2 linked regions of the Stegostoma tigrinum genome follow. The protein of the gene in region 1 purifies or fractionates together with the protein of each later gene. This does not show direct contact. Links are inferred from orthologs where the notes say so. Each region holds a gene or a part of one and is shown in the gene's direction. Other genes may lie near its edges.

Region 1 (7,743 bases):
CATTATAGGGGCCAGTCTTTATAGAGGGAGTGGGGTGGTACTGTCATGGTCAGGGACATGCATCTGTCAGCCAAGGGTCTGAGCATAGTGGGCTAGCCTAGGCTAGTGCCAGAAGGAGAAGTCAACCAAGGGGCTGAGCCATGATTATCTGTCACCTCTATTAGCAGAAATTAAGGGAGTAAGGGTCAGGGTCAGGGTCAGGGGGAGGGGTGATATGGATGGTACTTAGAAAGTGTGCAGTTTTAGTCACATATCCGCTGCAAGGGGATGGTCTGGGGCACTATGAGGCTGACTGGATCAATGGAATGGTCACCTGAGGAGGACAGGGTCATATTAGGGGTCTCTGTGGCATGTTAATGCTGAGACTGAAAGCCTCAGAGGACTACTCACTGTGTTTTGCCATTGATGAAACTTGTGGATAGTGGAAGAAAAGGGCTAGAAAGAAGAGTGTAAGTGAGGTGAATTGTGAGGGATGGGGCTGCATCTCCAATTATTCACTTAACTATTGCAGGAGTAATATTGTTCTCAGATGATTTGTTAGTCATACAGGCATACACATTGCTGCAGGATGACTAGTGGTAGGCACTGACTATCTCTGTTGAATCACTCCATTACTATCACTGTTGGGGAACTTCTTGTGATACATATCCCTGTGCACAACTGAACAGTGGGTGATGGGGAGGGATGTAACACCCAGCTTGTTGCAATGAGCATATGCTATGTACGTGTGCTGCTATCCCAGCATCTACATGATGTATTTGTTGGTCATCACAGACCTTTTCAAATATTCCATGAAGTCAATGGCTATGGATTGATGCCACAAGGAACTACACGTCATCTTCAGCTGAAACAGAGACAGTTTCAATATCAGGAAAGCTGAAATGCAAGATGTTATGTAATGTTAAAACTATTTCCATACCATTGGTTGTGGGGAAAAAAAAATTTAAACAGGAAAGCATTTTGTAAATAAACCATTAACATAATAGTGTGGTAAACAAGCTATTTGCTTTGGTATAATCATCAATAAATTATATGCAGGTTGGGCAGGCATTGCCCATACAAGACATTTGTACGTTTCCCTTGCTAGCTGAAGCCTGTTGGCTCTGGGTGTTTGGTGAAGTGGCCTCAGGGATGTTTGGACCTGGCTGAGTTAGACACACATTGATCTAGGAATTGGTGGCTCTGAACAACTCCAAGGCTCCTGTGCTTGTCCTCCATGGCAGCTATCAAACTGTCCAGGCAGAGAGAGAGAGCCAATTTATAGGGGCTGACTACACAATCTGCAGGATAACAGGCTGAATCAATGGACTAGCTGCAGTCTGGGAGATAACAGGCTGTGAATTTACACTGTGTGGTTGCTTTCTTCCAACTTCTCAGCAATGAGGGCCTGTGACTTCTAAATGCCTACCTGCTGCTGCTCCTGTACATCTGCACAACATCCCTCATAGCTGACAACATCAGGTCATCTGCTAGGGGTTTAACAGGTGCCTGATCAATGACAGTCCTCTGACTGCAAGTGGCCTGGAGTGTTTCTCCCTTCTCCATGTGTGGAGATGCTGGGGTATGAACTTCACTGGGTCAGTGTCCAATGATATATTGCATCCATGCTTCTGAGTGGTCCAGCAGGCAATGCAAATCATGGTTCCTCCAATTGTCCTCTATGATAATAGCAGGAGGGATCAAGGAACTCTCCTCCTGAGAGAATGGATCCACCTGAAAGACAAAGGGCAGAGGGCATTACAGCCACTGGCTAGTAGTGGTGTTCAGTACTTTGTTAATACAAGTGAAATGACCAACTGTTACTAACTGGGGTGGCAGGACATGGATGGCTCCTCTTCTTTGCTAGACCGGTCCCTGTTTTTTCCTGCCAGGGAAGCATCCTTTCCTTGCAGGTGGTGAGGCATCAGTCTCTGTCCTGTTACAGGATGTCTTCTCCTGTAATTATATGAAGGGGATAAATGAGTAAGACACAAGTGGATGGTATGTCCATTAGTGTTGGTGGATGTGGGATGCAGGTGTCGAAGTGGTCTGACAGAATGACTAAGAAAGTGTAAGTGGAGTGAGGGGGGGAATGAGTGAGGGAAGGTGTTTCATGCACTAGAGTGGGTGTCAGATCATAACCATTGGTGGGAGGTGGATGCTGTCTGCTACCTCACACTTACCTGTGCCACAGCAGAGTACTGCAGTTACTCTGATGAAACAAAGAAGACTACTGACCTCCTTCCTCACCCTGGAGATGGTACCGACCCAGGCGGCGATCTCTGACTCCTCTCCTCTCCACAATACCATCCACAAGGACTTCAAAGACCCTTTCCCGGAAGTATAGTTCTAGTTTCCTCTTCTCTGCTATCTCTCCTGATACCTAACATGGCCAGGCAGCACAATGTTAGCACTTCTGCAGATACACTGTGCTTTGAAAGATAACACAGGTCCAGGAGATGCTGGTTATATGGAGGACCCCTGCTGAGTAGCATGTTCTTTGGGAACAGTGCCTGGTAAGATAAGGCAGAAATAGGGTGTGATATTCACTGTGTGTGAAAGCAGTGACTTTGGCAAGGTACAATGAGAAAACATACACAGCCGTAAGGCAAGAATCACCTCACCCATGTGCTGTGAATTGCACTTCAGTCTTGATCTTAAACAGTAAAACTTAGCCGTAAAAAACATATGTGGACTCTAGGAAAGCTGCTGTCAGTTTCAATGGAGTGATGACAAGTTTGTTGTCATCATTACTGCAAAATCCAAGGCATGCTGAAATGCTGTTAGTGTTGATAGTAAACAAATGAGCAAACAAATTTGAAGGCTGGGACTGTAGGTAAAATTGACTGTGTAATTGTTACAACCAACAGAAAAACCACATTCCTTGATTAATGAGAATAACAAGGTGTAGAGCTAGGTGAAAACAGCAGGCCAGGCGCCATCCGAGGAGCAGGAAAGCTGGCGTTTCGGGTCTGGACCCTTCTTCAGAAAGGTTTCTGAAGAAGGGTCCAGACCCGAAACTTCAGTTTTCCTGCTTCTTTGATGCTGCTTTGCCTGCTGTGTCCATCCATCCCTGCACCTTGTTCTGTCAGACTCTCCAGCATCAGCAGTTCCTACTATCTCTTCCTTGTTTAATGCTGTTCTAGCATTTACAAATAAAGCACAATATCATCTGCATCCTTTTACTTAAAATTGTATTAAATTGTGATGGGATTCGTGGTTTTCAGAGCGCCTCCATCTTACCTGGGCGGCTGCAGCTTCAGCCTGTATTAGATTTTGAGCTGTGGCTGCTTTGGGTGCAGTTACTTTGGGTGGGCCATTTGGAGATTGGCAGGAGGAGCTGGCTTTGATCAGGTTATGCAAGATAGCCTTTATTTCAGCTTGTCTTGGGAGAATGTTCTGTGGAATGGGAGCTGAGCTGGTGCTCCACACAGATAAATTGGTTTTGCTCTTGTGGATGTGATGGTGCTGATTGTTTTATTAAGTGCAGAACTGGCATTTCCAGGATGTTCTTTTCAGCCTCCAACAGGGGTGGGTGAAATAAACCCATCTGACTTGAGGTTGCAATGGAGGATACATGAAGCAAGGAAAACACAAACTTTGGATCTGGAAGCAGGCAAAAGGCAAGTGCTGCTGCTTCTAAAGTTATTTGAAAGCAATTGACCAGAATTAGATTTTTTTTAATGTTAGTGGAATTGTAACAATTGACATCTGAAAACCAGTTAGCAAAAAATTGTTTCACATTTAAAACACAACTATTCAAAAATGGACACTAAAGTTTCTGGTATACTTCTAACAGAGGTTTCCTTTAGCAAGAGTCTGTTTAGCTGGATTGTATATTTTGAATAACACTGTAATAAACAATGTAGATAGTTATTATCCCGTTCCTGTAAATGTATTTTTAGTCAACCTGTTGGGACGTTTTATGATAAGACTAGTGGTATTTGAATCGAGGCCTTCTGGTTGGGGGTAGGAACATTTCCACTGCAGTCCTTAAGATTTTGTATTTCTAAGTTCAAGGTATGGTAGATATTTTGTTACTCAAAGGAGCTGGGATGTTACGATACGTCTCTGGAGCAGCGAGGACTTCAACCCGGGCCCTCCTGTTTCAAAGGGAGGGACACTAACATTATGCCATTAGAGCCTGCCATTGTGACTTTGTAGAATGGGTGACGCAGTTGGCCTATTTCTTGGATAACACCAATCGTTACTATGCAAATGACGCACAGTCTTATGAATAATGTATGATATGCAGATGAGCACATACCCCCGCTCGAGCGTGGCGGCGGCGGCCTCTCTCCGACAGAGCGAGCGTTGTCATCATGGCGACGGGAGAGCAGTGAGTGCGCAGGGTTCATCCTGCAAGCGTTGACCCTTTCGATCGTTCGACATTCCTGTTCTTTCTTGCAATTATTTTGGTCTCGATGCGGGTGTAACCACAATGGCTGAGGTAACATCGCCGGTGATGGAGGTGGGGAAGCGGATTCCATGTGCAGCGGGGTTGTTGGGCGAAGGCAGCAGCCCGGGCCCCGTCGCCGCTCTGACAGTAGAACCGCTCTCTCCACAGCCGAAGCCTGGCCCCGGATGCGGCTCGAGTTCGGCGGTTGCAGGGAGGGGAGTGCGCGTCTTAAAGGTAACGTTCACAGTCTGGCTCGTGTTAATTGACCTCTGAAGAATGTAGGTAATAATAGCCTCAATTTTTGATTTATTTCAAGAGATGTCCCGTCTTCCATTTCAGATGTTCAAATGAAAAGTTATCAAATGTGGCTGATTTGCTTGGATTAGTATTTTTATTAGTATTTGCTTGGATTAGTATTTTTACAAATATTTGCCCACATTAAAACGTTGCGGTTTCAACGCAGCGGATTCCAGGTGATCAGCTTTTCCCTGGCTCTGTGCAAGATAAACGCAGTTTTTTTATGTCACGCTACCTTTAACTGTTAATGATTGTCCTAATATGGGAAATACAGATACACTAAATGTGTATATTTTTGAAAATTGCATATTGCAGTATTTTCAAAGCCAGTCTCTATATTTATTCATCTAGTGTGCAAGTCTACATGATAAAAATCGGTTGCAGTAAAATGACCTGAAGGTGAACAGTTGTAAAATGCGTCCTTTTTTTTCCTGTTAGGAGTTGCACCGTCCTTATGTTCCTCTAATATCTTGCTGAACAGTGAAAACCTGTAGGAACTACCAACGCCCAGATCATTAGAAACAGAAAGTGTCAAGTTATAGGTGTTGCAGATGAATTAAAAATATTTTATTCATAGCTCTGTACCGTTAAAATATTTTCATATTTTGTTAAAGTGCTTCATGTACAGGGAAGGAGGGGTCCTTTAGGTGATGGCCTTCTAAAATGAGATAGCAAAAATGAAAGTGGCGAGTCACATTCGGTGCACGTTCTGTTCTTTTTGGCATTCCTGTGACTTGGCATACTGGTGGGTTTCTTGTTCTCACCGTAGTCAGTGGTGGACGAATTTAGACTCAGTTTGTTTACAGCAAAGAAATAGGCCCTTTGTGTCCATGTCAATCACTGAACATCCATTTATTCTAATCCTATTTTCCAATATTTGATCTGTAGCCTTTGTGGTGTTTCATGTGCTCATCTAAATACTACTAAAATGTGTTGAGGGTTCTTACTTCTACACCTTTTTAGACAAGGAGCTGTTGACACCCACTACCGTCTGGGTGAAAGAGATAACAAGGTGGAGAGCTGGATGAACACAGCAGGCCAGGCAGCATCAGAGGAGCAGGAAGGCTGATGTTTCGGGCCTAGGGTGAATTTCTTTTTCCTCACATTCCCTTTTAAACCTCCTGCTCCTTGCCTTAAGACTGCACCGCCTTAGGAGCAGAAAAGCTGACGTTTCAGTCCTAGACCCTCCTGTGATGCTGTTTGGCCTGCTCTGTTCATCCAGCTGCACACTTGGTTATCTCGGATTATCCAGCATCTGCAGTTCCTACTGTCTCTTAAAACTGCAACCCCCGGTTATTGATCACTCTACTTTTGGGAAGGTTGTTTTGTTGTCTACAGAGTACATGCCCGTCAGAACTTTATATACCTCAATAGATTTCCTCGCCACCCACCTTCCCCCAAGTGCCTTTTTACTCTAAAGAAAACAACACAACCTATTCATAGCTGAATTGTTTTTGCACACTAGTGCAATCATATCCTGCCTATAGTATCGCAACTAGAACTGCATGCAGTACTCCGGCCATGGCCCAACTTGGAGAAGGCAAGAGAATAGGACTGAGAAGCATAATAGCCACGATTGAATGGTGGAGCAAACTCAGTTAGCCAAATGGGTTAATTTTGCATGCTATATCTTATGGTCTTGTAATCAATACCTTGAGTAATAAAGTTAAGTATCCTATATGCCATGTGATCATCTGCTTTTGCTGCCTTCAGGGATCTCTTGACATGCACACCAAGGACACTGACATTTTCTGTATTTCCTAGGCTCTTGCAATTCAATGTGTATTCCCTTGTTAATTAGATTTTGCTAGGATGCATCCCTTCACACTTTAAAGGATGAATTCAGTTTGCTACTATTCAGCCCATCTGACAAGCCAGTTCTAAAGCTTTCCTTCTTGTACTTTACCAAACTGTCAATTTTTTTTGTATCATCGGCAAACTAACTGATCATGTCTCTTATCTTCATGTCTAGATCTTTAACATACACAACAAACACCAAGGGACCCAGCGTTTCAACTCTGTGGCACACCACAGGACAGAGTCTTCTGGTCACAAAAACAGCCTTTGACTACCACGCTTTGCTTCCAGCTACTGTCAATTTTGGATCCAATTTTCCAACTGCTCTCGAACCCACAAGCTCTTAGCTTCTTAACCAGTCTGCCATGCAAGACCTTGTCTCCATCAACTTCAGTTAGGCTTTGACCAGATCAACTGCTCACTACCCTTATCTGCACGCCTAGTCAATTCCTCTATTCAGTCAAATTTCTGAACATGATCTTCCATTTACAAAACCATGTTGATTGTCCGTGAGTAACCCTTGCCTGTCCAAGTGGAGATTAATTCTGTCCTTGAGAATGTTTTCCAAATATTCCCCGACCACAGATGTTTTACCTCCCTTGAATCGTGGTATCACATTAGTTGTCCTCTGGTCTCCTGACATTATTCCTGTATCCAGAATGGATTTGAAAATTAATTCAAAGTGTATGCAATCTCCTCCCCTGGCTCCCACAGCAGTCTGCCATACTTCACATCTGGACCTGAAGATTTATGTACTTCTTTTGAGCCTGCCAAAATCACTAAAAGCTCACCCCTCTCATTGCTAATTCATTCAAGTAAATAATATCCCTGTCTCTGGTTTCTATATATACATTATCTTCTTTAGGGAAGGCGATGGCCTAGTGATATTATCACTCAATTGTTAATCCAGAGAGTCAAATAATGTTCTGGTGTCCTGGGTTCAAATCCTGCCATGGCAGATGGTGGAATTTGAATTCAGTAAATATCTGGAATGAAGAACCTAATGAAGACCATAAATCCATTGTCGATTCTTGGAAAAACGCATCTGATTCATTAATGTCCTTTGGGGGAGGAAACTGCCATCCTTACCTGGTCTGGCCTACATGTGTCTCCAGACCCATGGCAATGTGGTTGACTCTTAACTGCCCTCTGGGCAATTAGGGATGGGCAATGAATGCTGCCTGGTCAGTGATGCCCTGATCCTGTGAATGAAAAGAAAAAAAGCGAATACAGAGGCAAAGGACGACTTTAAAAGCTCAGTTGTCTTTTGT
Region 2 (8,227 bases), on another chromosome or scaffold:
TGATGGCTACCACACTACCTCTGCACCTCCCACTTCCCAACTCTCTTGAATTTTTGGGATGTTACTCATGACTTCTGTTGTGAAGACCGATGCAAAATACTTGTTCAGTTCCTCTGCCATTTCTTTGTTCCCTAATACTACTTCTCCAGCATCATTTTCAAGCGGCCCAATGTTCACTTTTGCCTCTCTCTTGCCCTTGAGAAACTTTTGCAATCTCCTTTTGTATTACTGGCTAAATTACCCTCAAATTTAACCTTCTCCCTCCTTGTTTCTTTTTCAGTTGTACTCTGTCTTTGTAGGCTTCTTATTGCCGTTTGCTGCATTATATGCTTTCTCTCTTGCTTTCATGCTGCCCCTGACTTCCCTTGTCAGTCATAGTTACCTCATTCTTCCTTTGGTATGCTTCTATTTCCTAGGGATGAGTTTTTGCTGTGTTTACTGAACTACTCCCTGAAATTCCTGGCATTGCTGTTTCACTGTCTTTCCTGCTAGGCTTCTCTCCCAGTCAATTCTAGTCAGCCCCTCCCTCATGCCTCTGTAGTTGTCTTTATTCAACTGTAATACCGTTATTTCTGATTCCAGCTGCTCCCTCTCAAATTGCAGAGTAGTTTCTATCATATTAAGAGTCACTGTCTCCTAAGGGTTCCTTCACCTTAAGCTCCCTTATCACGTCAGCCTCATTGCATATCCCTAAATCCAAAATTGTCTGTTCCCTAGTGAGGTCCACCATAAGCTGCTCCCAAAATCCATCTTGTAGACTTTACTCAAATTCCTTTTCTTGGTGACCCTCTGCCAACCTGATTTTCCCATTCCATCTGCATATTGAAATTCCCCTGGATCACTGTAACCTTAATAAAAACTGAAACAACTGCAGATGCTGTAAATCAGGAACAAAAACAGAAGTTGCTGGAAAAGCTCAGCAGGTCTGACAGCATTTGTGAAGAAAAATAGAGGTAACATTTCGGGTCTGGTGATCCTTCCTCAGAACCCTGATCTAAGGAAAGGTAACCAGACCCGACCCTGATCTGAGGAAGGGTCACTGGACCTGAAACATCAACTCTGATTTTTCTTCATAGATGCTGCTGGACCTGCTGAGCTTTTCCAGCAATTTCGGTTTTTATCACCGTAACCTTGCCGTTCTTATATGCCTTTTCTATCTCCTGGTGTATTTTCTACCCTACATCCTGACTACTGTTTGGAGGCCTGTACATAACTCCCATTATGTTTTGTTTTACCTTTGTGGTTCCTCATCTCTACCCACAAAGATGCTACATCATCTGACTGTACATCGTTTCTTGCTATTGATGTAATTACGTTCCTTACTAATAAGGTAATCACAACCCCTCTGTCCACCTTCCTGTCTTTTCAATAGGATGTATATCCTTGGATGTTTAGCTGTTGAGTCCTGATGCCCACCACATCGTACCTGCCATTTTTGATCGGTGCCACAAGCTCATTTACCTTATTTCATAGTCTGCATGCATTCAGATACAATGCCTTCAGTCCTGTATTTACTATCCCTCTCTTCATTGTCATCCCTTTATCCGGTGTGCTTGAAGTTTGATTCCTAACCCTTTCCAAATGCTGTCTCCTTTTGTGTTTGGAAGGATTTAATAACTTCTCCTGACTTCCCTTCCCTTTTCAGTGTTTTTCATACTTTTCCATGCATTTGAATCCACCGTACACAGATGTTAACCTGCTGCCTTGTTTCCTATCGGCCATTACACTTCCTTATGTTTTACCCTTTCTCCCCCCGCCCCCCATTTTCTAGTTTAAAGTCCTTTTGACCAGCCTATTTACACTTTTCGCTAGAACATTGGTCCCAGCTCGATCATCCCATGAGACCATCCCAACAGTACAGATCCCTCCTGTTCCAGTACTCATGCCAATGCCCCATGAAAAGGAACCCCTCTCTCCCACACCATTCTTTTAGCCACATGTTTACTTACCTTGTTCTTGCCTCCCTATGCCATTTTGCACATGGCTCAGGTAGTGAAATGGAGATTATAACCCTTATGGAGCTTTTCTTAAATTTAGTTCTTATTTCCTGATAAACCCCAAAACAGGTCCTTCTTTCCTAGTCTTGCCTATGTTGTTTGTCCCAACATACACCACAACAACGGGATCCTCTCCCTCTCTCTCCAATATCCTTTCAAGCTGGTCAGAGATATCCTTCACCCTGGCATTGGGCAGCCAACATAGCATGCGGAACTCTCGACCCTGCTTACAGAGGATGCTTTCTATTCCCCTAAGTATACAATGCCCTACAACTACCACTTGTCTTTTTGCTCCCTCCTCTTGAATGGCCCAATGTACCACAGTGCTGTGGTCAGTGGCTCATCCTCCTTACAGCTCTGGTCCTCAGGGAGCAAATACCTTGTATCTTTTGGACAGGTTCAAGAGCTGAGTCTCCTCAGTTCCTGAGTACGGGATTATTTTACCTGCCTCACTTGCAGTCACACCCTGCTGTTCCTGACCAATCACTGTATTTTAGGTGCTCAATCTACCAAAACTTCATGGATTCCAGAGTCAATGTTGAGGGCAACTTCATCCCAAATGTAGACCACTGTGTCACTGCCTCTGTTGTGTCTGTCATATGGCATGACAGGACATATCCTGGATGGTGATGGAGGTGTCTGGTACATTGTAAGGTATGATGCCGCCAGTATTTCTATGTTTGGCTGTTGCTTAACTAGTCTGTAAGACAACTCTCCCAATTTTGACACTCGGCCCCAAATATTGGTAAGAAGGACCATAGAGTATCATCAGTGCCTTTTTGGCCATTGTCATTTTGGTACCAACGTTGATGCCAGGTGGTCCATCCAGTTTCATTCCTTTGTTGAGACTTTGAAGAAATTGAAACAACTGAGTGGTTTGCTAGACCATTTCAGAGAGCAGTTGACAGTCAAACCACATTGCTGCAGGTCTGAAGTCACATGTTGGCCATAGCAGGTAAGGGCGGCAGTTTCCTTCCTTAAGGACAACAGTGAACCAAATCAGTTTTCCCAACAATTGTCAGTGGCTTCATGGTCATCATTAGATACTTAGTTCCAGACTTTTTTATGGAATTCAGATTCCCCCATTCGAACCTAGGTACCCAGAACATTTGCTGAGTTTCAGGATTAGTAGTCTAGCAATAATACCACGAGGCCATCACCTCCCCTTTTGGGGTCAAGCTTTTTGAGAGTGCTGGAGTTGCATTTGTCCAAGCAACTAAGAATTATTCCATCACACTCCGGACCTGTGCTTTGTAGATGGTGGACAGACTATGTGGAGTTGGGAGGTGTTACTTGTTGTAGAATACCTAAGTTCTGATCCAAGTAGAACACTACTCACCACGTCTGCTGCTCTAAGTAACCAATCTTTACTCCCACGCTCTGTTTTCTGTCGCAAAGCCATCTGCCACTCGTCTTTGACCTTATTTATTGATCTACTCTGGGGCACCTTGCTAAAAGCCTTTTGAAAATTAAGATAAATTTCATCTACCACGTTTTCTGCTGTGTTCCCTCCTGAAAAAATTAGTATGTTCATCAGTTCTTCCGAGATGATGCACAGTTGCAGCCGTGTAGTCGGTTTAGTAGCAGGGATTCAAGATGTTAGGGTTCAGGGGCTCTGATCCAGGCCCCTGATTTGGCTGAGCTAGATGTGGGAGCTATTCCAAAGACAAGCTCACTGTATTGAAATAAGACTATAAGATGAACTTGATTGTTCTATTTTTCTGGCTTTATATTCTGTGTTTTGGTTTATTTTCTGTGATTTAAGATGGCACTGGAAAGTTGCAACACAACAACACTTTCAACTGATAACAGTGTGGAAGAACACAGCAGGCCAAGCAGCATCAGAGGAACAGGAAAGTTGACGTTACAAGTCAACTTCAGAAAAGGCCGGCTATGTTCCTCCAGCTCCACGCTTATCTCTGGCTCCAGCATCAGCAGTTCTTACTATCTCTGAACACTTAACATTTGTTTTACGTACGTGTGACAATAAATCAAATCAAATCAATGCATTCGATACAATGGGATTGACTGGGTAGCTCTTCTGGGAGCCACCATACACAGTCTATGGGCCAAACGGCCACCTTCTATCCTGTAAAATTCTAAGATCCAGCTGGATTTTCATTTTTGAAATCTATGCTGACTACATTCATTATTATATTTCTAATTTCTGATTGCTCCATTCTATCCAAAATCTAGGAAATTTTTCAGAAATACAAACAATACACCCAGTACATCTGCAACAAATATTGTTTTAAGCATCCAAGGCCGAGGCCATCAGTTTCACAAAAATTGTTAGTTTTGTTCGCTCTTTCTTTGCAGTGTCAGTGATTATTTAAGTCTCTTTCTTCCTTTCTTCTTTGTTTTCCACAGGAACAGCATTTCCACAAAGTACATATTCGTATGTTAAAAATCTTGTTAATGGTTTTCAGTAAAATGACAAAAACAACCTTGACTTTCCTGAAACCATCTACATCCTCAAAAGAAAATCTTGTAAATTCTGCAAAATGCATTCTTTAACCAGCAGGAGACAGCACTGGCAGCACTAATGGAGGGAATGTTTAAAAAACCCTAAATTTTATCGTATATATTTTACTAAGATTTGTTCTTGCGTGTGCCAATATTACATTGTTCTATAGTTGAGTATGTAGTGTGAACTAGAGGATACACTGTTGCTGTTTCACTGTTTACCTGCAAGTTTTCTAAATTTACAGTTCTACCGCTTCCAGCTTCACTCAGACTTGTCAATCAACAAGTTGCCCGGCGACCGTGGCGGGGTTTGCAAGTATTCTTAAAGTTCGTATTGCAGCCTTCTTTACAGGTTACGCCATGGCATTTTGAAAAGTGTTCGCGGCATCGAATTCGTCATTTCTCTGCAAAGTTTTGCAGACTTTGCATTAACTGATATAGATGTTAAACTCCTGCTTGGTCACGTCAGTGAGAATGCAAATTTGAAGGCAACGTGGAATAAATATTAATAAGGGGGGGCCCTTGCGGAGGAGGGTGTCGATTGGCTGAGGATGAAGACGCGCTGTTAGTGATTGGAGAGACGAACTGTCAATCAAGGAAAGGCCGTCCCTGGTTGTGCTGATGGTTTGTGAATCGCGCGCAGAGAGAATAGCTTCGAGTCTCAGTTGGATACAGAGTATCCCAGAGTGACGCTTTAATATAGTGTCCCTGAGTAAGTGACTGGTTGAGGGGTATCCCCATCATGACCAAGGAGCAACTCCGGCCCAGGCTCTGTGTCATCGAGAAAGGCCCGAGTGGATACGGCTTCCACCTGCATGGGGAGAAGGGCAAGACCGGCCAGTTCATCCGCCTGGTGGAAGCGGCCTCTCCAGCTGAGCGAGCGGGGCTGCGGGCCGGCGACAAAGTGGTTCAGGTGAACGGGGACAATGTGGAGCAGGACAGCCACCAGCAAGTGGTCCAGAAGATCAAGGCGGTGGCTGAGCAAACCCGGTTGCTGGTGGTGGACAGGGAGACGGACGAGCTGCTGAGGGCCCGGGGGCTAGTGTGCAAGGAGGAATACATCAACGGCATCCCCGACCCCACGGAATCGGTTCAGGAGCAGCAGGAGGAGCCCGAAGAGAAAAGCCCGGCAGCCGAGACCAAAGCGGCAGACACTGTGTCTCAGAGCAGCAGCGAGAAGGTGAGGAGGCTGGCCAGAGGGCGCACCTCTCTGAGAACGGGGAACGTTATAGGGTAACGGGAAGTGGCGGACATTACCCGGGATGGAGGGGGTCACTTTCTGCCACAGAAGGTGTGGGATAGGCACGAGAGGGACGGGAGCACTGGGGTCGGGACGGCCGGAATGCGGGTCCCTCGGTGATGGGAATGCGCAGCGTCTGGAGAGGAAGGCCGCCGCTGTCGTCCTTCCCTGAGGAGATTCTCTCAGCAATTCATCTGTAGTAGTTTATGAACTAAAGTTAAAGGATTTAGGAATAAGAATACCAGTAGCCGCCAGTGTGTGTAACACCAGTGAGCTGTGCTGAAGCGTTGTACTAGCTGAGGGGTCAGCTCTGGTCCTCACCTGAGACTCGGTTTTTCTAAGGCAGTAAGTCCAGGGTCTAAATCTGATGCTAAACTTACTTTCCTAAGTGAACAACCCTATAGAATTTGGCTCTACCCACAACAGGATGAATGAGCTGACAGTAGAAAACATCTAAAGACTGGGGAGAGTTTTCACAGGATGCCACTGAACAGTCTAGTGTAGAACAGACTGTCCTTGGTACTGGAAGAAACTTTGGTGAAATCTGTTGTTGTACTGTGATCTGGATTGAAAGGGTGTTGATTTCAGGTTTCCCGTCCTCCTGTGGCACAGGAGACAAGGGTCAATAACTCTGCATTTCAGCACGTATGAGCAGCAATTTCTTTTATACTTGCAAACTTGCAAGTTCAGTCAGCATTTATTGTGACGATCACAGTTCAGGTATTGAGGTCAGAGTCTGAGCAGTAAGAGCTGAAGCTGCTCATTGGATGGTTGTGTGGTGAAATAACTGAAAACCTAATTAGCCCGACTAAAGCTGGTCCTATACTGTTAGATTTGTCAGTAGGTAATTCCCACTGGATCTTGTTAGGGGACTGAAACTCCATGTCTTGCAATCCTTTTCTGATCTAAAGATGAGGGGAAAAGATTTTTTTTTGCACCAGTCGCTTGAAAGTTGTTACCGAAAGTTTGTGGATTGCCCTCTGGAGACTGGAGGTTGTAAGATAAACTAAAATAAAACAAAGAACTGTGGATGCTGGAGATCTGAAACAAAAACATAAATTGCTGAGGACAGTCAGCAAGTTTGGCAACTTCTGTGGGGAGAGAACAGAGTTAACATTTTGAGTTTAGTGCATCTTCATTAGAACCTATCTGTGTTCTGAGAAAGAGTCACTGGACCTGAAATGTTAACTCTGATTTCTCTCCACAGATGTGCCAGGCCTGCTGAGTTTATTTCAAAATTATACTTTATTTATAACAAAATGTTATGTACAGTTTCATGTCACTGAAACAGACCCAGTTTGGCGTTTGACTCTATCCAACAAACAAACCAAAGGCATCTCTTATTTGTGCAAGATTACATAGAATAGGTTTTTCACTCTTGAAGATTTCGAGCCTGGTTGGGATCCAGAAGGTTTTCTGATCAAACAAATGAAGACTGCGAACAATTTAAAACTTTTTTTTCCTTCAGAAGCCTTGCATGTTACTTTATTAACTGAGGTCGAGTCTGTAAAAGCAGGGAGGTTATGCTAAAGCTGTTTAAAGCACTAGTAAGGCCACAGTTTCAGTACTGCAGATAGTCTGGCCATTGTCTTGCAGGAAGAGTGAGAATAAACTAGAGGTTAAAGAGGAAAATGCAGGCATTTAACTACAAGGAAGAATTGCTTTAGCTGAAGGTTTGTTTTTTGAAATAATGCTGTCTGAAGGGATGTTTAATTAACTGGTATAAAATTGAGGAGCTTAGATAGTGGTGGGATCAGAAGGCCTTATTTCTCTTCAAGAGACCAAGAATAGGAGGCCCACATTTCAAATATTTAGTAGAAGGATGAGTGATGAGTTATCATTTTTGCCCAGAGGATGGTGGGAGCCTGGGACTGTTTGCCCAAAAGGGCTGTAAAGGCAGAAATCCTTATCACTTTAACAAGTACTAAATTTTTATTCTTTCCACTTGAGGTGTCATAACCAAAAAAAATCAAGAACCAAAACCTAGAAAGTGAGATCAATTTACATGGTTTCTCAGCCAGCACAGACATGGTGGTGTGAATGCCACCTTGAATTTAAAATCTCTGCACTTTGTATGTTTTCCCCCATCCACCCCTGCCTCAGATGCTGTAGCTGCTTATCTTGACGGCGAGTTGAATGAGAGATAATGGGAACTGCAGATGCTGGAGAATTCCAAGATAATAAAATGTGAGGCTGGATGAACACAGCAGGCCAAGCAGCATCTCAGGAGCACAAAAGCTGACGTCATGAAGGGTCTAGGCCCGAAACGTCAGCTTTTGTGCTCCTGAGATGCGGCTTGGCCTGCTGTGTTCATCCAGCCTCTCATTTTATTATCAGCGAGTTGAATGAGGCCACTTTCTCCTTTTTGAGAGGAGGAGCCTACTTATTGCAGTGAAAGGGTTGCAGCTGTGAAATTCTGGTTTGGCATTCAAACCTGCATATAAAATTCATGAGCTTGTGTTCTTGTAAATGGCCCGTTTCATTCGGTTGTCAGACTTGAATGCAAGGCTTTAGCACTTCCTTT

What was found.
Region 2: the proteins of PH domain leucine-rich repeat-containing protein phosphatase 2-like (region 1) and Na(+)/H(+) exchange regulatory cofactor NHE-RF1-like purify together in Homo sapiens (co-immunoprecipitation; 3 studies listed by BioGRID and IntAct, with this or other methods). This does not show direct contact. The link is inferred for Stegostoma tigrinum from reciprocal best matches to the Homo sapiens genes PHLPP2 and NHERF1.

What each region holds. Positions count from the first base shown.
Region 1 is NC_081369.1:35,900,427-35,908,169, reverse strand, and holds the start of PH domain leucine-rich repeat-containing protein phosphatase 2-like, read left to right. Parts: upstream 1-4,245; 5' UTR 4,246-4,420; coding exon 4,421-4,612; intron 4,613-7,743. UniProt on the Homo sapiens protein: Protein phosphatase involved in regulation of Akt and PKC signaling.
Region 2 is NC_081375.1:37,094,514-37,102,740, forward strand, and holds the start of Na(+)/H(+) exchange regulatory cofactor NHE-RF1-like, read left to right. Parts: upstream 1-5,046; 5' UTR 5,047-5,205; coding exon 5,206-5,643; intron 5,644-8,227. UniProt on the Homo sapiens protein: Scaffold protein that connects plasma membrane proteins with members of the ezrin/moesin/radixin family and thereby helps to link them to the actin cytoskeleton and to regulate their surface expression. Necessary for recycling of internalized ADRB2.